Linked DNA regions of Drosophila melanogaster. The protein of the gene in region 3 interacts with the protein of the main gene of each other region in a pairwise test. Each region holds a gene or a part of one and is shown on either strand. Other genes may lie near its edges.

Region 1 (6,745 bases), on a different chromosome or scaffold from region 3:
AGCCGCACTGTAGCATTTAGCTTTGCACATGCTTACGCCTCATTAAGGCATTTTAAAAATATTTCTCTTTGGCTTTGGTTTTCTCCCACTTTGCCCAACTTCCGAACTGATTTTCGCCTTATTTCGACCAAGTCATTTGCTTTTTTTTCTGCTGAACTTGAATTTTTGTTTGTAAAATAAAACCCCTGCAATCGCATTTAGTTGAAAGACACGTGCCGACAAGTTGTCAAGTACAAAGTTCGATTTATTTGCGCCGTGCAAAATAAAAGGTTTAACGATCTGCGGATTTGTCGATAGAAACTGGCACACGGCGAAGACAATGACGACGCATAGAACACAAGGCAGCAGAGGAATCAGATCGCGATCCGAGATCTCGGCGACTAGACCACGGCTGCTCACTTCATCAAGGGGGTCAAAGTCAACTCGGCATTCGCCCAGTCATCAGCAGACTGAACTCCACTAATAACCCCGATGCGAATTTCTAGTTCTCTGCAGCGATATTTATGGCCAGGCATTAGGGTGATGGCAACCGCCGAATTGCTCAATGGCAATCAGCAAACCTTAAAATAGTTTTTGCGCCAAGAAATAAAATTATATATGGCTTAATATAGCAATCTTCACCAAAACGCTCTTTTAGAAGTCTCAGCTTTTTTTTTTATTGTTTTGATTCGCTTTATGTTTTGTGATAGATCTGCATTTATAATGTATATGGTGATATAATATCTTAGGCTCCATGCGCGATGCTCTGCCGTGTGGGTGCAGGGATGCGGAATTTGTGATGTGCTGTGTATATGTGTGAATATAAAATCAGACCTCATTTAACGATGAAACGTATGTTCATTACTCCATACAACCCTAACAACTCTAAGCGGTAAGGTAAATACTAATGCCACAAGGGGATCATCTAATTGCATAACTTAAAGTAATTGCTTGGCTGACATGGTAGCTCCTTTAGATCCTGTTTTAGCAATGGAACCCTTGAGCGGAAGTCATCTCGTTTTGCCAATTTCAGATGCAAGCAATTCTGCACTACTCGAAATGTAAATCAACTTACGACAACATTAAGTAGACAAATTGGAATTTTATAAATAATTGTACATATATTAATTTCTCTACTGCAGATTTCATTCGACAATCAACTGGTTTTGCAATTTTTTTTTTTCTATGCAAGATTTTGATGATAAATGCGTGTAATTGTGTGTTAAGTGTGTGTTTTTGTCTTCTATATGGTTCCGTTGATTTTGTATAACAAGGTACAAATGCTCCCCAAACGCTAAAAAGGTTGCATTGTAAAACTGCGCTAGTTCGCATTAATATATGTTTTACTCGTACTATGAATGGGATTGTATGTGCTTTTACGATGATTGTTTCTTGGCATCCACTTCAGCATCTAAAAGGTTATTGGTTCGATGGGAACAGTGCATTCGCTATACATGACGCGGTACATGGCCATTTCAGAGATGCCATGGTAGTGGACAAAAGCGGCCGCAATGACCAGTATGTGGAATATTTGATGTGATTGACCCTGCAAAATAAAAGACTGTTAGAACGGTGCAAAGGACAAAACCATCAAGAATCGTACCCAAATGTCAAACTTTCCAGGGAACCAGCGTTCGGGAACACGGAGGGCGTACAGCAGTGCGCCCAGAATGTAGAGGAGGCCTGCAAGATGTATTTTGCCATTGTTTTACCATTATTTTAATATGCATATCTACAAGCACTCACCCATCAGAATTAGCCATCCCAGACTGGCGCGGCTCATCTGGCTGAACCAGCCCTCCATGATGCTGTAGTGAATAGCTGGAATCACACCCGACAGGCCAAAGCTCATAAATACGCCAGCGCGCAAGGGACGAAGTGCCGGCTCCGAAAACTTGTCCCATAGCGAGACCACGATGGAGAGGATGCCCAGAATGCTAACAACGGATAGGTATATCACCTTTGGCTGGTAATGACAGTAGAAGCCATAGTACAGCCAAGGCACAAAGGAACCCATGATCAGCAGCGCAATTCCACAGTAGTCAAGTCTGTTGGTAAACAAAACAATTAACATAATATCCATTTAATTAGTCGAGGAATACTTACTTAGAAAACAGTCTTCCCATCTCTACAGAATGACAGCTCAGTGTGTGAAAAGCGAATGAGAATCCTAGGCACACAATCGCACCGATAAAGAAGGCGCCAAAAACGATCTTCTCCTGTGTCTGGATCTCAACCGAGGGACGCGAGATGAAGTATAATGCCACGCCGATGAAGGCGATGCAGCCAAGAAGATGTGTCCAGATGTTGCCCGTTTCCGTGTGCACGCGGAAAATTGATTTAAAGCACGCACGGAAAGAGGGGAGCGGTGGGCGATGGCCGCGGTGTAGGAAGTCGTTATCCTGCAGCCACTTGGGTAGATTTTTGTAGTGGCACACTTTCCAGCTAGCCTCCCAGACCTACGGATGAAATGGAAAAAAATAACATATCATTCTATAGATAAGACATTACGTTTGGTAACTATAAACAAACAACAACAACAAAAAATACAGTCCCAACACTTAATACTATTTATTGAAATAAAAACAAAAATACAAAAGCTACAATATTACAAATCTTGAAGAGTATCTTCCATTTAAGCCATTCTTCACTTGGCAGCATCACTTGGCTTACCTTGCGCACAAACTCCTCTGCCTGCTCGGCGGCATTGTGTGCCAATGCGCCCAAATCAATTTCATCGGAGAGAACTCCGGCCTTCAGCACTTCCGTCATCTGTGGAATAGAGTGATAAGACATTAAACAGCTCTCAAAACAAATATAAAAAGCTTAATAACAAAGAAAAACTAAGAGCAAATGGGACTAACGACTGCATTTTCAGCTTGCTCCTTGACTGTGTCAGGGTTTTGGGTTCTGTAAGTTTCTTGACTGAGATCCGGCTCCAGATCCGGGTTGACACGCACTATAACCTCCGGCTGGGTCTGCATCTTGAGCGGCTAACAGAGATTCGAACGGAACTAGAACTAAATGTGCGAGGCAATGAGCGATTGTACTGTGAAGCCTCTGCCAGTCGCATACTCAATTTGTTGGCGGAACAAGAAAGCACCGAATGCGTTCCGCGATAAGATAAGCTTGCCCGAAACTGACTCCGGGCATTATCAGCACCGCATCGACGTAAATTTGTGATTTTTTTCCAGCATCTGTCGTATAAAGGGCTATGCCAAAGCTTTTTGCGTTCAATCTAAGCCTGACCTTTAAAGCCGGTGATCAAACGGGCAGATTGTCTAGAGTATAAGGCTCAAAGTCAAGAAATTTTACTTGACACCTTTCGGACAGACATTAAAGGCAAGGAGAGATAAGAGGTATAACTTTCAAATGGCTATGGAATATGCTTTAAATTGAGCAATTGTATTTAGTGAGTCATAAAAATGGAGAAATGGCCACGATAAGGTTTAAGTACAATGGTTATGGTACATTTTGCATGTGGCAAATAGACATTGGCCAATGCAACATTTCGATTGATAAGACGCCCGACATTGAAATGACTGCCTGCGCAGAGGGAAAATTGCGACTAACAAGTGGCAGCCGATAACCACATGGTGGTAGGTCAGCGATAAGAGCTCCGCCACATGTTTTGACGATTGCATTTCGTACTTTTCCACCTGGTGGAAAATGGAAATAAAGGTTAATAGCCCCAACTCACCTCCGCCTCAATAAGCTGTGTGTCCTCCGGGGTCGAGGGGAGTGGACAACCGGCGTCATCCTCCTCGACCAACTCATCGTCGTACTCCAGAATGTCCAGATCATTGGGGCTAAGCGAGTCCTCCGGTCCCCAGCCACGTCGCTTGCGCAGGATCATCTGCACCTGCTCAAAGATATCCTCGTCTGAACCTTCTCTACGCAAGGTGGCCGTGGTGGTGGTCACCGCCTCGCCGGTAGCATGTCCTTCGGCGTCCATGCCGAAAGTGGCTCGAGCCTGGGTGGTTACCTCCACCTCGGCGGGATGGCTCCCGCCACTCACATCAGCCGCTGAGCCCTGTTGCTCGAGGAGATTAGTGGCCGAATCCATGGTCTTACGATCCCGCGGATTCGTTTTGCACTCCGCAAATAGTATTCTGTAAGAGAAATACGTTCTGTTCAATACGATACATACGAATTTAGTTGTTCGAAAGCAATGCTAAGCGTTTGTTAGCTCAACGCTAGCTCGTCTGGGAAATGCGATATTTGTTTATTTGTTTATTGGTCTGCTCCGATCGCATTGCTATATAGTATGGCGCGACCTTTGTTCCCCAGTAAATCGGTTGTACGTAGCACATAAGTCTGTATCTGGTAGCTTTGTGTGTTTTATCACTTAGGAAACTTAGCTGCCAATTACGTTTTTACATAAGATGGTGTTCAAATGCGAGTGGGATCCTCAGTGGGTTAAGGTGCAGTTGCTATTTCGGGGAAACCATTATATAGATAGCAAAGTGCATGGAAAATGCAGCCAGAAGGCCACGTGTGAGTGGAATACTACCAACTGGCTTAACCCCCACCTGCACTCCACTTGCGCAGTTCCCATTTTTTTTATACGAAGTTACAGAAAGTGTCACAACACAAACGAACGATTAATCACTCGATTTCACTGGCGTTTCGTTACTATTCACTTACCACTCGAAAGTCGCGCAGTTGGCGTGGCTTCGACGGCAGGCCCAGGAGTCAACACTGGCGCGAAAAACTATTTGCTGCACTTGCTTCAATTGCGTGCAATTGCAGTTTTTCATCTGTTTTCCCTTAATTTAATTTTTTCTGTGTTTTTTCCAGTGTGACTGCAAGCGCGATAGGGAAAATCACTAGCAATCATATGGGAACGGAGGAAATGCGGTCATACCTTGACGCAGCAGCTGTTAACGGCTGTTAACGCTACTTTGTAGTCACAGCTCTGTAAAACAATGTGGCAACTCTGCGCAGCGCCCGCCATATTTGAAAATGCTTGCCAGCAAATCGTATTGCTCCCGGTAAACAAGGTGCTTTCATTATTAGTCAACATTTTTGAGAGCTAACAACTTTTTATTGGCGATCAAAGGTGGTACTTCAACTGACCAAATATTGGATATTTGCGTAAATACCTAACAGGCATTTGTTTTTTTTTTCATGAGAAATTACCGTGACGAAATTACAAGACGTATATTATATGAATAGAAAATTTTCCTCTAGTCTGTAAACACTTCAGTAACAGAGAAATTGTTTTCAAAAAATGTTAAGGCATCTCATTAAAAAACATCAACAATGAACTCAACTTAAGCCTGGTAGTTATGAATTAGCATGTGTAGTTCCCCGATATTTAACCTACTTAAGTATGCACATATCTGCCATTCCTTGGACACTTTTGCAAAGACAACAAAGACAACATCACAGCTTACTTAAAATATATATATTTAAATTAATTAATTAAAGTAATACAAGAATGTCTAATTATAGCTTTTTTAGAAATAGCATTACGGTGTTATAAAAACCCACAAATGTAGGCAAATAACAATTCTAATAATAAAGAAACTTAATTGGGAAGACAAAATGGTGTTTGGCTAGTGAGGAAATATCACCAGCCTTGCAGGCCCAATAAAGATTCACTTGTTTGGCAAGCTCTTAATAGCGCAATTTAACTACGTTTTAATAGCGCCCTTAGAATATTTATTGCACATAAAGGCCAATATGTTTAGTCAAGAGTCATTCATCTTTGTTAAACAAATTCAATTTCAAACATAAGACTATAGAACTTGCTTTGCTCAGGGGCAGCCCATCAAGATGATATACCCTATTGACCAATCCAGGCCAATATCATCCATCAGCTCTCGGCGTTCTGACCAGCTACGTTAGAAACTCGGCCAAGGAGCAGATTTCGCACAGACCCCGACTAGCGGTATTAATCGACTGAATTAATACATTTAGTAGCGCTGAAGTTCAGGGTCATAATCACAAAAGAGAAGCGCCGATAATGCGAGCTGTTTCTGTTTGAATGACGAGCGCGCGACAAAAAATGCTAAACGGCCAATGTGCTTCAAATGGAAATGGAAATGCCAAAGACCCGGAAGGGTGGCGACCAACACAGCTGCAGTGCATCCAACTCGGCAAACATTTGCATATTTGACCGGGCACTTAGCACGTGGGTGGAGTACATGGATCACCATGGGTCACACAAATCACCTGGGAATCTGGGAGACTGGTGAGAGTAAGTGCGTGAAATTGACCCATTCATTGGACGGACAATCGCTTCCCATCGATCTGGAAATGTGTTAACTGCGCCCGTAAACCCTATTTGCGTAGTTAAATTAAGTGCCAGGTTATGGAGTTGGGGCGTGTCATCCCCCACATTGGCACATATATATATATATATATAAGCACTTATAACTATGCTGCCAATTGAGTTCGTCTCAATGACGTGACGGCGATAATAAATCAATTGTCTAGCGGTTTATTTAAAGCCAATTTTGTAGCTGGAAATTGGCACACAGAAAGAAAAGTGGTGTCAGGAACTTATATATAAAATGTTATTATTTTGGTTATTTTTAAAGGGTCTAATGGAACTATTTTTATTATAAAAATGTAGATAATTTTTTAAGCATTTCTTTATAGAGATGTTTTTAGAAAAATGTTTTTTTAAATGGGCACACAGAAAGAAAAGTGGTGTCAGGAACTTACATATATAAAATATTATCCATATCTATTTTGTTAATTTTAAAGGGTCTAATGGAACTATTTTTATTACAAAAATGTAGTTAATTTTTTAAGC
Region 2 (7,278 bases), on a different chromosome or scaffold from region 3:
GAATCCGCAAAGGAAGTGGAGTGGCGAAGCCAAACGAAATGAAAAGGAAACTCCGAGAAGCCGACGTCGACGTTTTGCCCAATCTACAAGACGGATAATTGCACGGCCATTAACGCCGTCATTATCGACAGGGACAGAGTCACAAGTCCACTGGGCGACAGTGCGGCTCAAGAAAGTGGGAACTTAAAACTGGAACTGGGCCAAATGGGCAAGCAGAAGTAGTTCCCATACGTCATTGTAACTAACAACTAAAGAAAAATGTAGGTATTATCTAGCCAGCTAATATTTGTAACTGAAGTGTGCGCTGAAACATTTAGTTGATATACATTTATGAAGCACATGGTTTTAGCAGCGATTTCCGATTTCGAGCAAAACGCACTTTAATATCACATGTTCGGAAACATTGTGTACATACATACATACATATAGCCTTATCTGGGCAGCAAGTGCTCCATAAATTCATTCGCTGCAGCGACTGAACTCTACACTGAACTCGAAATAAATCAGCGGACCGTACAGTGCTGTCCCGATAAGGCGCCTAATCAGATAGGGGGCAGAAGGAGCTACAGCGCTCCTCCTTCTCCCCCCACCCCCTTCCGCTCATCATCGAGTGGCAGAGGCAAAAATAATTAAAAGAAATTCGTTGGCAATTCTCTTGTTCTTCGTTCCAGTTTTGCGTTGGTTCTTTTTATTAATATTTAATATTATCAATCTAGTTGTTTAGAGCAAACATTATGGCTAGGTTCTCCATACAAGTGTGTGAGGGGAGAGGGGGGGGGTGTTGTGTTATATATATATATATATATGTATGGATATATATTAGGCATAATTCATTTTCATTAGCAATTAAACATCATCTGGTTGGGCTCCCAGCGAGCGTACAATGGAATTTAAATAGATATAGAAATAGCATTAGGTATTATATTACGTATACGTACAGCTAAACCGCACTATGCCAACCGTGTGCGTGTGTTTCTCTCTATATGTATATATATCATATATCTGCGTATATGTTAGGCATATATAGGTGTGTGTGTATATATTTATAATGTATTATTCAATGCATGCGTGGCACTTTAGCACAGCTAAAATTGACGAAAAAAAAACGCTCTCTTCTGACTCCCGGATCTCTGCGACTACTATATCTTATAACTAGGATTGGTGAGGGCTATACTTCAAATAAATATTTACAAAGCAGGTGGCGCAGGAGGAGGCGGACTTCTTGGGCGTGCGTTCGAATAACCTTCTCCACTTTAAATGATCCTCTATGGAAGTACTACTCGTATCGGCTAGTACACTCAATGAAATAGTACGCAATAAAAAAAAAAAAAGAATTTATAAAATACATTATAAAATGGGCGGCGTGGGTGGTAGGTAGAGGGGTATCTTAGGTGGTGAGCGTGCGTGAAAGAGGATAATATCTAGCTATAGATAGATATAATTGTAGATGAGCTGCTGTTTCTCCACTACTGAGACGACACCGCCGGCGCCCGTTTGCTTTTGGCCACATGTGGCAAGGCAACAACGGGCTTGTTGTTGCTGGTGGAGCTGGTGGTAGTGGTGGTAGTGGTGCTAGTGGTGGTTCCAAATGGCGAACAGGCGTCACTGCTGCTGCCACCAGACTGCTCCACATTCGTGCCCATCGACGAGTTAATAAAATTGATGTACTGATGCAACTTGAGGGCGGCTATCAGGGAGCTCAGATAGTCGTTGATGTTGCCCTTCTGGACCTGCTTGATCTGTCGGGAGACATTTCGATAGACGCGACGCGAGATCTTATTGGATAGCCGTCCAACTGTCTGTACTGTGTGTAGGACTGGATCCTCGCTGGCGGGAACTGGCACTACAAGTAAATTGAGCAAAGGCAATCACCATTAACGAGGGAAGCAAGCAATTGTAATTTGAGTATTTGTTACGGGTTATAAACAAGTCATTGATTGATTAGTAACTTTGGCGCTGTGTGGGCTTGTGTGTGCTTACCATAAACTTGTTGAGTTCCCTATCGATAATGCCTACGATCTCTGGATTTCTTCTAACGTACTCAACAATTTCGGTTATGATTTTCAGGGACATGGACAGAAATACCGTCGAGGCGGCCACTAAGAATCTATCATCAATCTCTTGATCGTGATCCCGGTCGTAGCTCTCCCCAACAATAATAACTAACAAATGGCACAGAGAAAGAGAGATAGAGAGAGAGAGAGATATTAATTTAGAAAATAAGTGTCACTTTTTGGTGGGGGTTGGGTGGTTAATTAATGTTAGGGGCGGGGAAAGGACCAGGATCAGGATCTGGGTTTCGGAAATCCCAAGGCTAGCCAACATTTATCGCTCGACTCGAAATCGTAAATATTTCTGTATATTATATTCCCATTTTGTTCTCGTTTTGTGTGTGAAATTATCGCCATGCTTGATTAGTGTTCATGCTTTTTTATTTACTTGCTATTTTTATGCTTATTAGACGGTGTGTTAGTGGTAGACAAAGAAACAAACGATCGAACGAACAAAAGATCGGATCGGGGATCGGGAACTTACTGTCATTTTCAGAACTCTTGCCATTCTGCACGACGGCATTTTGTTTATCATCTGAGAATTAAAAATATTTACGATTTATATTTAGAATTTTGTTTACACACCGCGCAAAAAAAAGTGAGGGCAGCAGAAGGCAAACAAGCTAATTTTAAATTTTTGTGCCAACAGATGAAAAATGGTACGGAGCCAATAAATAATGTTCTCCACCATCATCCAGAGTTCTTAAATAAAACTGAATTCTAAACTTATTCGCTCTGAAGACAGTATTTTTAATTTTTAGAAAGAAGTGTCAAAGAGAATATATATAAAAATTATAATGGAAGTACGACAGGACAAGACTATTAATTCAAGTGAAGTCAAAATGATCTTATGAATTTGATATTAAATAAATTAAAAAAGTAGTTTTAAACGTAATGAAATGTACAACAAGATTTCAATTAAGTTGCATCAACTAACTTATATTATATTAAATTTTACGTCATGGCAATTGAGAGATTCCAAGTGAAACCACTGTTCTACGGCTCCAATGAACAAATATATAAACAAAAGTACCCTAACATTGTGACCTACTTTTTTGTAACTCTACCGTCAACACTCACCATTATCTTCCTCGACATCCGACTCGCACTTGGGGAAGTAGTATTCAAGGAGGCGCTCGGCCAGCGCCGTGGTGGTGTCCACTCCGTTGACAGCCAGACTGCCGTACTGGGTGGCCAGCACCTCGTTGGCCTTCTGCCAGGCGAGATCCTTCAGCGAGGCGGCCTTCTGCTGACCAGCTGCCTTGAACTTGACGACGCGCTCCAGATGGGGCTGCACCACATCGATCACCTTGCTCTTGGCCTGGTTGTAGATCTCCTGGGGTGTGTCCTTGATGATCGGCGCCTTTACCTCAAGCTTATCGATGCCCTTGACCAGGGTCTGGTCCACATAGGCGATGGGTCGGTCCAGTTTGGTGACGAAGGGAGCCGCCGTTGTCACCGCGCGCGTCACACAATCCTCGGCCGCCGTTAAAGCCCATTCGAAGACACGATTTTTGCCTGAAAATATGAGTAGTTCACATTACGATGAAAAATACGGATTGGAAATTATATGTCTTAGTATAAGTTTAATTTAAAAGTTAACAGCCTGTTTAATTTAGAGATCTAGAACTTCTAGAATTTCTAGAATTGTGTAGTAATACCCCACACATGTGACACAAGTACGAAGAGCGCGCTTATCAGTTGCAACCGTAATAATAATAACAATAACAATAATAATAGTAATAATAAATATGTAGCATTTCTGGCTGATAAGCAACTGCGCAGTTCACGAACCCCAGGGCCCCTTGGACCCCTACATTCTATCTGTCTGGGGCCCGCCAGTTTAGACTTTGATAGTTCGTCACTCGTCAAACACATCATCCATTCCAATTCCAGTCCCAGCAACTGCAGCAACAACAACTGCGAAATATCACAAACAAGTCGAAAGTCCAACTAGAATTTTTGTTGTCGTTGCTGCTGACGGTGAGACCCCAAGAGCCCCTTAGCATAAGTGCTGCCCGCTTTAGTTAGTTTCCAGCCAAATCTAGCTTTATTCGACAGCGGTAATTGGTATTGTCTAGTAAATGCATTAAGTATTTGTTTTTTCAGGGATCTGTGCTTTTACGATCGGCAAACTTAGGCTGGGATCAATATTGAGAAGAAAACTAGTAACATTATTTTAGCTATAATTAAAGTGCAAGTTTAGCTTAACTTTTGGTCAGATCGAGCAGCACTGCCAGTGCCAGTGGCGTTGCCATTGGGTCTGCTTTGCTTTTCCTCTTGTCAAAACGAGCCCCCTTTTGTTGACGGCGCCTCTGCGGCTGCAGCCTACGTGCGGTGGCCTTTTTGCCGTCAGCCACCGCTCTCTCTCTCCTCACTCTATCTCTCTTGCGCTCTCTATTGCGTTGGCCAAGATTGTTTTATTATTATGTAAATTTTAAGCGAACTTTGAACGCAACGCGTCACGAGGGCAAAGTGCCGGCCTTTTTGCTTTTCTTATTGCTAGGTCATGGTTGTTGTTGCTGTGATTTCGATTATTGAACGACCGGCAATCAATTTATATCAATTGAGCTTAATTTCTGGCCAATTAAACGAAAAAAAAGTTGAACAAAAAAAAGTTGTTTCTGCCCTCTATGTGCGTTTCGAGTTCGAATTGCAACTCGAAATAAAATGGCGAAGCAAAGTCAAAAAAGCAACGGTTTCGGTTTCGATTACGGCTTCGAGTGCATATGGTCGCTGCAATTGTTGTTGCTATTTACCTCCTCCTTCACCGGTCGTTTATTCTCTATATGTGCCGTTAGGCGCGCCAAAGTAACGGGACTTGAGCGAGTTCAATGCACCCGGAGGAGGTCTTATTTTCATTTTCTTCTGTTTTCCTTTGCTGCACTTACCTTTTACTTTGCCATAGACATCCTGGGACTTGTCCCATGCCGCATTTACCACGGGCAATTTGATGATCCTCTCGAGGGACTCAAGGTGCGGCAGAAGGTCCTTGGCATCCTTGGGCTGGTCCACATCGTTCATCGCCGTTCCATTGCCAGTTGTTCCGTTCCCGGTGGCGTGTTTCTGCTCTGCACTGGCCATGATCAGTTTTCTTTGGTTCCTCTTGCGCTGCTTTCTGCTGCCCTTTTCACTTTTTCTTTCTGTCTTTCGCTATCAAGCTCTTCCGCTTGCCACCGCACTTTTCTTTTCGCCTCTTGCTTCTTTTCTTTCACGAACAAAAAAACAGCTTAACCTGCGAGTGAGTGTGTGAATGTAGGGTATGCGTGTGTCTGCGTTCTGGAAGCACTCTGTTTTATTTTATTCCTAGCACTTTTTGGCACGTCTGCTCACGTCTGCTCGTTGGGACTCTCTGACTGATTTGCGAGCTGCGCGGCTGGTTTATTATATGAGCGAGTGCCGCCGCCAGTGTTGCCAGCGCCGAGCAACAAAAAGCTATGAGCAACAGTGATGCCGCAGGTGGCAAGAAGTGGATGAGGAAATTTTAGTCAAATAGCTAAAAAGTACAGTTTTTACCAATAGAGCTTACTTTTTGTTCAAACCGCAGTGTGTTTTTTCCAAGATTTATGCCTAGTCAAGGGTCATGTGGCTATAATACACTTTGTATTATTAAAATTTAACCATGAGCTTTGACAAGCACGATTACTACAAAATATAATTATAATATTAAAATCTTCGAACTTGTGTACTTAACCATACACAAATTTGTTTATCAAAAATGTTGAGTAATAAATAATAATAATGTAATAAAATATCGCAGACAGTGAAAAAACAGTGCTAAACAAATAAAAAGGTTAAAATAACCAAATAATATAAATGAGCTTAGGAACATTTCTTTGCAACATATATCTTGAAAATAGCTAGATCGTTTGCTGCTGTAAGATAGCTTCGCTGCGAAGAGAGCAGAGCGCCAAAGCAGTATCAGCGAGAGTTTGAGATTAGGACTCTCTTTGAGGACCCCATATACAGTTTGTCAAGAAACTGTTTACATACTGTGAAATAAGTTGAATTTTTGACTTTAAAGCTAAAATTAAAGGTTTTTTGCTTAATTAAACGCAATTTTTTTTATAAAATTTAATTAAACAATATTTATTTTACTTATAAATCAAAAAACAAATATTAAAATATTAAATATACAAGAAAATAAACAACATAATCCAAGTTTACACACCTTTGAGACTGTCAAGAAACTCTTTACACATTTTGTTTTCCTACTTTGTTTTGTTCTTTTTCTTAGAACGAACTCGATTTTTCCGTTATTTTTGGCTTTGCATTGCTTTTTACAACGCTTCTAATGAAATTTGTTTGACTTTGCTTGAAGCGAATTATTATTTTATATTTAATTAAATTATATTTAATTTATTTTTTGATTTATAAGTAAAATAAATACTGTTTAATTTTATTTTATACAAAAATTGCGTTTAATTAAGCAAAAAACACTTAATTTTTAGCTTTAAAGTCAAAAATTCAACTTATTTCACAGTGTGTAAACAGTTTCTTGACAAACTGTAATTATAATATGAATAAATGTACTATAGTTTTTGAACAGTACACTTAAATTGTTATGATGAATTATTATAGTACAAACGCTTTGTTTGAAATAAGTACAATTGTGTACTATATCTGTTTTAAATGAAACTTAAAATAGTTTTGAAACAATTTTCATTATCTTTATTTTCGAGGTAAAACATAATTAGAAAATCAGGTGAAAGAATGTACCATTATCAAATTATAAACAATTCTTCTATCATGATCAAACTAATTTTGATCATTTTTTCCCGATCTATGCAGAGTTCATAGTGCAATTCTTCTGTGTTGTCCTTGGAGGGGGGTCCAATTATTCTGTTCAGAAAACAAGAGAGCTGAAGAGAAAGAAAGAAATTTGGGAAAAGAAGAGAGACAGTGCCTACGTTTGTTCGGCATGCTTGACAACTAGATTAATTAATACGTTGTGTCGGGCGCAAACAAAGTTTAGATTGAAGTACATTGCAATATATATTTATGTACATATATGTGCATACGTACATATGTATTTCTGTGTATGGGGGCACTTCGATTATCAATGGCCAATGGGCAACGCCACGCAAAAGCTTCGTGCGACCTTTGAACCCCTGCCACCGCATCGATAATACGCCATTGCACAGTCAAACATCTACATTCAGTATTCTACGTAATACTTGCCGAATGCTGTGTAATTCGCTTGGCAATCCAAAGTCCGATTAGTGAC
Region 3 (3,617 bases):
TCAAGCTGGGCGGACTTCTCGATCGGGATCGCAACGGATTCGAGAAGCTGGACCAGCAGGCCAGCGACGAGGAGCAGGAGACGAAGACACTGGCGAGTGCCCAGTACGCCTAGGCGAAGGACCAAGACTTACGCAGCTAACAAAGCATTCCTAGTTCTAACTACCTGTACCTCATTGAAATACCGACTTAGTTTTACGCGAGCTATGTATATGTGTGTACTTTAGGTAACTTTATTTACCTTCCTTGTGGTGCATATCGCAGAGAATTCCGATCGTGGTGTATTTCTAGTTGATTTATTGAGCCGTTTGTTCAATGTATTTTAAACAGCTTATTTATGGAAACTTCTTTTGGAGAACCGACTATGCGATTTTTTTCCGGTTACTTATATTTATTCTTTATTTAAAAGAATACATTTTTAAAACGCATGCCTCTAAAGAGCTCGAAAATATCTGAAATATTGTAAGTGCCACAGAGTCCAATGACTTGACCACATCCTTTAAATTAATTTTTTTTTTCGAATTAAATCGAAGTTCTCAGCGAATGCGCCTCATATATTGCGATTAATTTGCCAAAAAGAATATAGTCGTATGAATCTGTCATAGTGTGTATTTCGATTATTTAAAGTCTGCGGCTTAACTAGATTTCGTTATAAATAGGTGTACAACATATTGTGTCGACTTGCAAGGCCCCATAGTGGCGAATATGTTTAGCCCCTTTCCTCGTCCCTGGTTGCCACGATCCCAGAAGACCTAGGGTTTAGCTTCTGGCTGGCGGTCAGACAACCTGGGCGAGGAAACCCTCATTCTCCTCCGTTACAATAGCATCGATGTTGTAGAATATAGCATGCATAGCAATCACGAAGCATGAAGCACCCAGCGTCCAAAACAAAACCGCACCCGCGCCCACCAGGAATAGCACTGGTGCCGTCGCCAGATTGAGTGCGATGATCTGCTGGCTGGGCGTCAGTTGTTGTCCCACGATGGTAATGTTACTGTTGCGCACGCGCAGCTTATGGCAGCCAAAAGCGGAAGCCAGGATGACCAGCAGAATGCAGGGAGCCGTGATGCTTAAGATTATAACTATTAAATGGGGTGCAATAAGGTTTTTAGAATCACTTACAGGCAGTATATCATCAGTACAAAAAAGATGAAAACGTAGTTGGCCTGAAAATAGGAGAGATTCCGAATAACCCGGCTATTTAGCCGCTGCATGCTGATGGCCGTTTTGAAATTGTTGATGTTGAAGAAGACTACCCAGGGCCGCAGGGAGTTTCGGACCATTTGGAAGATCTGCAGCGGTGATGGCAGGTTGGATAGCGAGGGCAGGCTGCAGGGTTCAAGAGTAATTAGCTATTCGCTCCTTGTTACGGTTTACTCACCTTTGCATGTCCACGGAGAACCTGCCTCCGGAAGGCGGTGGCGGCTGCATGTTACCGGATAGGTTCCCGCCAGTGTGTGCCATTTTGCTTGTGCTTTCCCAACCTCGTCCTAACACTTATCTTAGATACACGTCTTCGCTGCAATCTACAATTCTTCTTTCGACAAGTGTGGGCGTTCCACAAGTGTTATGTGTATCTTTGGATTCGTTCCACTTGGTCCAAGAACTGTCTTGAGGATGCTGCGGCGTTTGTAAAGCGGCGAGGACTTTAGCGGGGTCACTTCTACATGGAGGCGGCAACACTTTCGATGTTGATTTTACGATTCACTCTTAATTTGCTATGACATCGTTTTCTTTTGAGAAACAGTATACAAAGTTTGAAAAATCTGATGTGGCAGATAGTTCTAGGATTGCCGTTGCCGTGACGTGCGGTGTGGCCAGAGTTGCGAGTGCGCAAATTCTCGAAATCAACTGAAAACAAATCCAAAGCGCTGAATGCAATCAAACATTTAATACAAAACTTTTTCTCTAAACATTTGAATTATTTTTTAATGATATTTTTACACAAAACAATTATATTTTTCTACCTATTACTCGTGTAGTAGATGGTTATACTAGATTCGTTTAAAAATGTATATATTTTTGATATCCTTGTCTATTAACTTGAACTATTAAAGCTAGAAAGTTAAGATTAGAAATTCAGTTTCTTTCTGATGATGCAACGCCACAATTTAAAAAAATGAATCGATTTTTTTTCATTTTATTACTTGTCTTGCCAATTTCTAGAGCTATGCCAAAAACCTTTTACCACGCCCATTTTAACACTGAAATCTGCTACGTCTTCACTTTTATGTGTAGACATTTTTTAATTTTACTATTTGTTATCAGTATGGCAAAAGATATGTTGGATGCGCCCAAACCAAACCAAACCCACACTTTTAAAAAGTTACTTGCCTATTTTTCATCTTATTATTTTTTTTTCCAATTTGTATAGATAAGCCAAAATGAATGTTGAACTTTTCCACCAGCTGAGTAATTGGTATCTGATAGTCGAGGAACTGGACTATATAGTTCTCTCTGCTTAAAAATGTTTTCATCACAGAATTACTTATTATTTCTTTTAACAAGGCCAAACAAAGCAAACATATTAAGCAATTCTTTTAATTTCCTTTTATATAAGTAGGCGTAACGAAAGAAATTTTAAGAGTCTGCGTTGCTTTACAAGTAACAGGTAAGAATCGCGCTGATATTTTAAATATTTTTTGAACAATTTATTTGACGGATAACACAACATCCATTAAATTTTTCTCAGGTCTTCTGGCTAATACATACATATCTTATATTTCTTGTATCTTGTATACACACTCAGGTTAAATGTTACATTTCTATTTACATTTACCAACAAAGAGTTTTAGAAGTTAAGAGAGTTTTCATTTGCATTACCATTATGAATATAGACTATATAATAAAAGTTCTAACTTAGATATATTTACAGATATGGATTTTTGACGTCATAACATATTGCTGGTGTGACACAAGTGATAAGTATTTTTTCACAGTTCCGGTATGAATCAGATTTTTGATTTTAACTTAAAAAAATTGTGTCTTGAAATATTCAGAATGGATTTATATTTGTTTACGGAGATGGAAATTGATTATCATCTTTTTGTTCAACGGTATTTTGGGATTGTGGAGAAAGTAAAAAATAAATCTCGTTCTAGTCACGCGGTATCAGGGTGATGGTGTCCTTCATTTCCAAAAAACCTGTGAATGTATTCGAGTGTTGCGACTGTTAGATACCTGTTACTCAGTTTATGAACCTGCAACATATGGATATGTAGAATTTGAATAATTTGGCGTGTAGCAAGGATATAGCTCTGATCAATCTATTACTACAGTTTTGATATGTTTAAAAGTAGTAGGATTTGAACGTTTCCTGGTATCCAGAAGACTTTTAGGATGTGAGCGTTTTAGGAGTTTAGGGCGTAACAGGGGCGTGGCACGGTTTTAAAGAAAACTTACATGCTTCCTTACTCTTAATGTTTCCGACATCTCGACATTCATACGGACGGACAGGCAGGCCATTATAATTAACCCAAGGAAAGTTGTGGATTGGACATCGTGCCATGAATCATTTTAGCAATCGAGATAAGCTTGAACTTTTAAGACCAACTGGCTTTTGAATTCAGTATTCGGTTAGGCTTTGACATTTCAAGATGGTCTCGATCCATTTTTATTT
Region 4 (5,330 bases), on a different chromosome or scaffold from region 3:
TTACAATCCGAGTACTTTTCAAAAACTTATGATATACTTTGCAATTGGTCACTGATCGTATGATATAATTCGAACTATATTCAAATGCAAGTTCAAATTTTTGGCACCTGATGCATCTAAATGTATTGTAATTTCTTCAATACCCAATAAAGCTTAACGAAAAAAAAAAACTATTTGGTCTTAAATTAAATTTAACTTTTTTAGTTTTTTTTAACCTGATTTGAAATCCTCATCTATCTAACGTTTACATTGTAAACAAGAATTTTTAACTAATGTTTGCTTAAAACATATTCTTTTTATATATTGTTGAGCGTGTGTTCTTTTCCTCATTTACAGAATATTTTATGATCTGAACGTTTTTTTTTTATATTTGAATTTCAAATAATTACCTTTATGGACCTATCGGTGTTGCTAAGAAATCGATAAATGTAAAAAATACCAGGCCTAACCGTTGTGTTTTGGCGCCCAAGAAACGGCCACACTACAGCCCCACGCTTCAATTTGTTTGTGCGAATTTGTGAAATTGCACATAAAATGCCGGAAGAACCAGAGAAAACGGCGGACGACAAGCGCAGTCACTTGCCGTGGATTGAGAAGTACCGCCCCGTGAAGTTCAAGGAGATAGTGGGCAATGAGGATACCGTAGCAAGACTATCCGTATTCGCCACCCAGGGAAATGCACCCAATATTATTATTGCTGTGAGTTTGTGAGGAGTAAAATTAGTTTGGCGCCACTAATTGTGATCTATAGGGTCCTCCTGGCGTGGGCAAGACAACCACCATCCAGTGTCTGGCCAGGATTCTCCTGGGAGACAGCTACAAGGAGGCTGTCCTCGAGCTGAATGCCTCCAATGAACGAGGAATCGATGTGGTCCGCAACAAGATCAAGATGTTTGCTCAGCAGAAGGTGACACTGCCGCGGGGCAGGCACAAGATTGTGATTCTGGACGAGGCGGACAGCATGACGGAGGGTGCCCAGCAGGCACTGCGCCGGACCATGGAGATCTACAGCAGCACCACTCGTTTTGCCCTGGCCTGCAACACCAGCGAGAAGATCATAGAGCCTATCCAGTCCCGCTGCGCCATGCTACGATTCACCAAGCTGTCCGATGCGCAAGTTCTGGCCAAGCTCATCGAGGTGGCCAAGTGGGAGAAGCTTAACTACACGGAGGACGGACTTGAGGCCATCGTATTCACTGCCCAAGGTGATATGCGACAGGGACTGAACAACCTGCAGTCCACCGCTCAGGGATTTGGCGACATCACCGCTGAGAACGTCTTTAAGGTCTGCGACGAGCCGCACCCAAAGCTCCTAGAGGAGATGATCCACCATTGCGCTGCTAACGACATACACAAGGCCTACAAAATCCTGGCCAAGCTGTGGAAGCTGGGATACTCGCCGGAGGACATCATTGCGAACATATTCCGTGTCTGCAAGCGCATCAACATCGATGAGCATTTGAAGCTGGACTTTATCCGTGAGATCGGAATCACCCACATGAAGATTATCGATGGTATCAACTCGCTGCTGCAGCTCACCGCCCTTCTGGCCAAACTCTGCATTGCCGCCGAGAAGCATTAGATTTAATATGAACTATAGGTTAAAGAAATCTCAGAGATAAATAAAATTGGAGATAAATAAGTCCTTTTCAGTATTGAATACAAGTGTACCTAAATTTTAAACTGGGCACCGTTAGTTAACAGATTAATGTTAATTTCTATGTCAGCGCACTTAGAGCATATCGTCCCTAATGGAGTGTTAATTATTGCGCCCTTGGTATCGGAAGCTGAAATTATCATACAACATTAGATAATGTATTTATAGGACCGAATGATCATTAGTTTTTATACATAAAACCGGAGTTAGTTTTTATACATAAAAACCAATACGTTAGTTAACATTTCTAGTATTTTCGTAGAGCACACCACTATACAACAGTACGGTCGCATTAAGTAGATTATCGCAGCACTACAGAGCTGGCCACACTGTTTGCAGCGCTAAAGTAAAGTGAAATATGGCGAGTCTTGGGGGCCAACACGGAAATATTTCGACTAATCCAGAAGGTACGCATTGAAAACAACCCGCTGAGAGTGCGAAATCGAAGGACGAATGCCCCCGCGTCGAAAATCGGCCAGGATCTACGCGTTTTCGGGGCGTTTTCAGTGGCCAAAAAGTGCTGGTCGACTGCGCAGCAAAACGGCACTCACACCACGGCCAAAAAGCAAAAACGGAGTGAAGAGAGAAAAACGAAGAAAAAAAACAGCGAGGCGAGAGGCACAGAAAAGAAAAGAAGAGAAAAGCCGAGAAGCCAAAAGTGTCTGCCCCCTAGAAATGGGGGATATATGTATTTCGAGTTCCCCGATTCCGAACCGGAGTTTTGAGTTTATAAATAAGTTCCAGTCGGAAAAGTCGTTGGAACAAGAGAGAGGGAAACATACATTATTTTCTCGTACTTCTCACTGTCTCTCTCGCTTCGTCATCGCAGCTGCTGCCGTGCGCTTGTGTTCGTGCGTGTGTGTGTGTGTTTTTGTGTCCCCCTCCTTCCTCGCTCTTTCGCCTTCTTGTCACCTTTCCTTTTTGCCAAAACGCAACGGCAATTGATTTTCCCCACACACGAAAGCCAAAAGTCCGTGTAAAACTCCGGAAAATCGCAGCGAAACTCAATCGTCCATTTTTCTCGTACTTCTTTTGCAGTGGAAAACACAGCCAAGCGACCCGAAAGTCGCGAGGGCAGCGCCGAGCGAAAAGGTAAGCCTTCTATGCGGATTATCTTGCGAGTTACATAAAATCGGCACCAATGTATATCACACATACGCACTATATGTAATCGCTTTAACATCACCTATAACTCGAACCACAGCCCACGCATTCGCACCTGCCAAGATCTCGGGCTGCAGCGCCGGCGCAACCTTGCATTGGTTCGCCCAGGTGGGCGGTCAAATCTCCGCCAGTGAAGACGACTCTCAAGGTAGTTGGCATTCCATTCAGGCTGCTCCAAAGTCTTCCACAGCCACGCCCCGTTCTGTTCCGCCTCCAAAACGAATGCTCCGAATGTTTGCCGCATGATCTCACTAACAAATAAGACCCATAGTCCGCCTTATCGCGATTTTAACCGTCACTGGTCTATTGCAAGTCTTTCATAGCTGTTTTTCTAATAAGAAAATCTTCTTATCTATTCTCACCCAGTGACACGCTTTAAATCACTGTAGTTTCTAAACTGTCTAGATGTTACCCACTAAAGTGGGTTATTAAAAACTCAAAGCATCTTCAATTAACACCTAAAAGATCAAAATGTTATCTACACTTAAGGTCTAGCTTGATTTTAGATGGCAAGTCCAACTCTAATTATACAAATTTTAAAAATATGTATAGTCATATTTGACTAAATCATTGTGAGAATGCAAAACAAGGAATGATTAAGTTATTGGGAATTTGATCTTAATAACAATGTTCTCAAAGTTTGTTAAGTTAAATTGAACTACATGTTATTACGAGAGCAAAAAGGAAATGGATTTTATCAAGCGAAAAATCAATTGCAATGTTTTTGGCTTTCCAAAAACACAAGTAAATATGGCATACAGTGGGTTAAAATCCAGCAATTTTGCCTGCGACCTTGACAGCTGATAATTTCCCATTTGCAAGATATTTTCGCACCTGTAACTGGCAAAAAGATTGACTTGCAGTTGTTCCTTTGTCGTCTTGCTTACGTCATGGAATTCCAAAAATATCTTAACCGATAAGGCGATAAGAACCAGTTCCCAGTTCGATTATGCAGACTTTGGCAGCCAAACCGCATGCTACCAATATTATTGTTATTATTGTTAATTTTTTTTTTGCATTTTTCCGCCTCAATGTCATTTCAATAGAACAAAATGTGCGCCTGCATTAGCAATTTGCTTTCTATTTTCCTTTTATCATTTGTTTTTTTTGTTGTTCGCCCATTTTGCACATAGGCAAATTTGAAGCGGGGGCGGCGGTATTGTTGTCCGAGTATTTGTGCCATATTTGTTATTGTTGCTGCTGCTAGTTTGTCAATTGACCCACAAAATGCGAGTGTACATTGTCGATGACGTCAGCTCTCGGCTCTCATGTAAATAACTCGCCGGCAAAAGTCGAAAAATGGGGTATAATACTACACATATTAAGCAGATATTTATCGATTTTTGTTGGGCCACAGGTAGCAACTGATGAAAATATTCCCAGTTTTATTTGCTTGCGAACCGTAACTTGTTTATCCAAATTCAATTTATGCCCTTATAAGTATGTGCGAATTCGAATCTCTATTCATTTTGCTACGCTTTTAGCGTCCAAAGACCGTGAGGAGAAACTAAAATATGCCCGCGATCGCCAAAATGAGGAGCGCCACCGGAAAATCGAGGAACTGCGTGCCCAGGCGGAGGCCGCCCAGCGGTACCGTGAACAAAAGGAGGAGGAGCGCCGTCGACGCATCGAGGAGATCCGTACCCGGGACACAGAGAAGCGCCACCAGGTGGAGGAGCGCAAGAAGGCCATTTTCGAGGCCGAGAAGGAGCGCCGCGAGTACATCCTCAAAAAGAATCAGGTGCGTGCGTTATCGCTTCGATTCCAATGAACTTCTATTATAATTCTTGTTTTTGATCATCCACAGGAACGCGAGTCCCGGATAGAAGTGAAAAAACGGGACAGAAACTCCATCGGCTTCGCATTTGGCTCCTCGACTCCCCGCCTGCTGGATGTGCCCGCGGATTATGGTCTGGTATCGCCCAGTGCCTTTTGGGGTCAGCGGAGGTGAGATCCGAATGAAAGTTATCTGAGCACAAAGCCAAAAACTCACACAAAACGCGCACACTAATATGTAGCCATTCATGGCTATCTAGATTAGTATATATTTTGGCCGATTTCATATGTGCTTTGCGCTGCACATGACTAATTAGCGCTGCACTCTGACTGGCATTACTTAATTATTTTTATCAGTTCTTGAACTTTTAATGACGAAATTGTTTGCCAAAATATATAAATCACAATTAGTATAATTATTGACTTAGTAAATGTCGCGAAATGAAAGCAAATAATTGGCTAACATGAAACTAAAGATAGTGAGCTAGTAGCCAATCAATTGTTGAAAAAACCCATTTCACAATGATTAAGCAGGTTTTCATTGTAAACTTTGATATTCTTAATGGCAAATAGCTAATTGTTTTATCGTTATGAAGTAGCAAGGCCATTTTGAGGCAATTCGAAGTTTATATTTTTGCGCTTAGATATTTGAATTTGAGTACTAAACATGACTTCCCCTTGCAGGTCCACATCTATATCGAACGTAGCGGGCGCCTCGCTCACACGTCGAAGT

Evidence for each region.
Region 1: the proteins of CG1418 (region 3) and AdipoR interact in a two-hybrid assay, tested with the Drosophila melanogaster proteins (one large-scale study listed by BioGRID).
Region 2: the proteins of CG1418 (region 3) and Lsd-2 interact in a two-hybrid assay, tested with the Drosophila melanogaster proteins (one large-scale study listed by BioGRID).
Region 4: the proteins of CG1418 (region 3) and ens interact in a two-hybrid assay, tested with the Drosophila melanogaster proteins (one large-scale study listed by BioGRID).

The regions. Positions count from the first base shown.
Region 1 is NT_033777.3:22,543,033-22,549,777, forward strand, and holds AdipoR (adiponectin receptor), read right to left. Parts: upstream 4,815-6,745; 5' UTR 4,627-4,814; intron 4,534-4,626; exon of another isoform or gene 4,352-4,533; intron 4,167-4,351; exon of another isoform or gene 4,092-4,166; 5' UTR 4,046-4,091; coding exon 3,680-4,045; intron 3,242-3,679; exon of another isoform or gene 3,055-3,241; intron 3,000-3,054; exon of another isoform or gene 2,964-2,999; coding exon of another isoform or gene 2,844-2,963; intron 2,752-2,843; coding exon 2,653-2,751; intron 2,439-2,652; coding exon 2,086-2,438; intron 2,028-2,085; coding exon 1,726-2,027; intron 1,663-1,725; coding exon 1,583-1,662; intron 1,526-1,582; coding exon 1,391-1,525; 3' UTR 661-1,390; downstream 1-660. UniProt on the Drosophila melanogaster protein: Adiponectin receptor. In insulin-producing cells, regulates insulin secretion and controls glucose and lipid metabolism.
Region 2 is NC_004354.4:15,070,806-15,078,083, forward strand, and holds Lsd-2 (lipid storage droplet-2), read right to left. Parts: upstream 5,416-7,278; 5' UTR 5,136-5,415; coding exon 4,943-5,135; intron 3,570-4,942; coding exon 3,132-3,569; intron 2,587-3,131; coding exon 2,536-2,586; intron 2,163-2,535; coding exon of another isoform or gene 1,981-2,162; intron 1,844-1,980; coding exon 1,467-1,843; 3' UTR 658-1,466; downstream 1-657. UniProt on the Drosophila melanogaster protein: Essential for embryogenesis. Required for normal deposition of neutral lipids in the oocyte.
Region 3 is NT_033778.4:9,963,255-9,966,871, forward strand, and holds CG1418 (uncharacterized protein), read right to left. Parts: upstream 1,814-3,617; 5' UTR 1,463-1,813; coding exon 1,380-1,462; intron 1,328-1,379; coding exon 1,121-1,327; intron 1,068-1,120; coding exon 776-1,067; 3' UTR 581-775; downstream 1-580. Other genes in the region: Pal1 (Peptidyl-alpha-hydroxyglycine-alpha-amidating lyase 1), read left to right, coding at 1-113.
Region 4 is NT_037436.4:4,131,188-4,136,517, reverse strand, and holds the start of ens (ensconsin), read left to right. Parts: upstream 1-1,967; 5' UTR 1,968-2,015; coding exon 2,016-2,064; intron 2,065-2,695; coding exon 2,696-2,749; intron 2,750-2,861; coding exon 2,862-2,969; intron 2,970-4,305; coding exon 4,306-4,562; intron 4,563-4,628; coding exon 4,629-4,768; intron 4,769-5,281; coding exon 5,282-5,330. Other genes in the region: RfC4 (replication factor C subunit 4), read left to right, coding at 535-699, 752-1,582.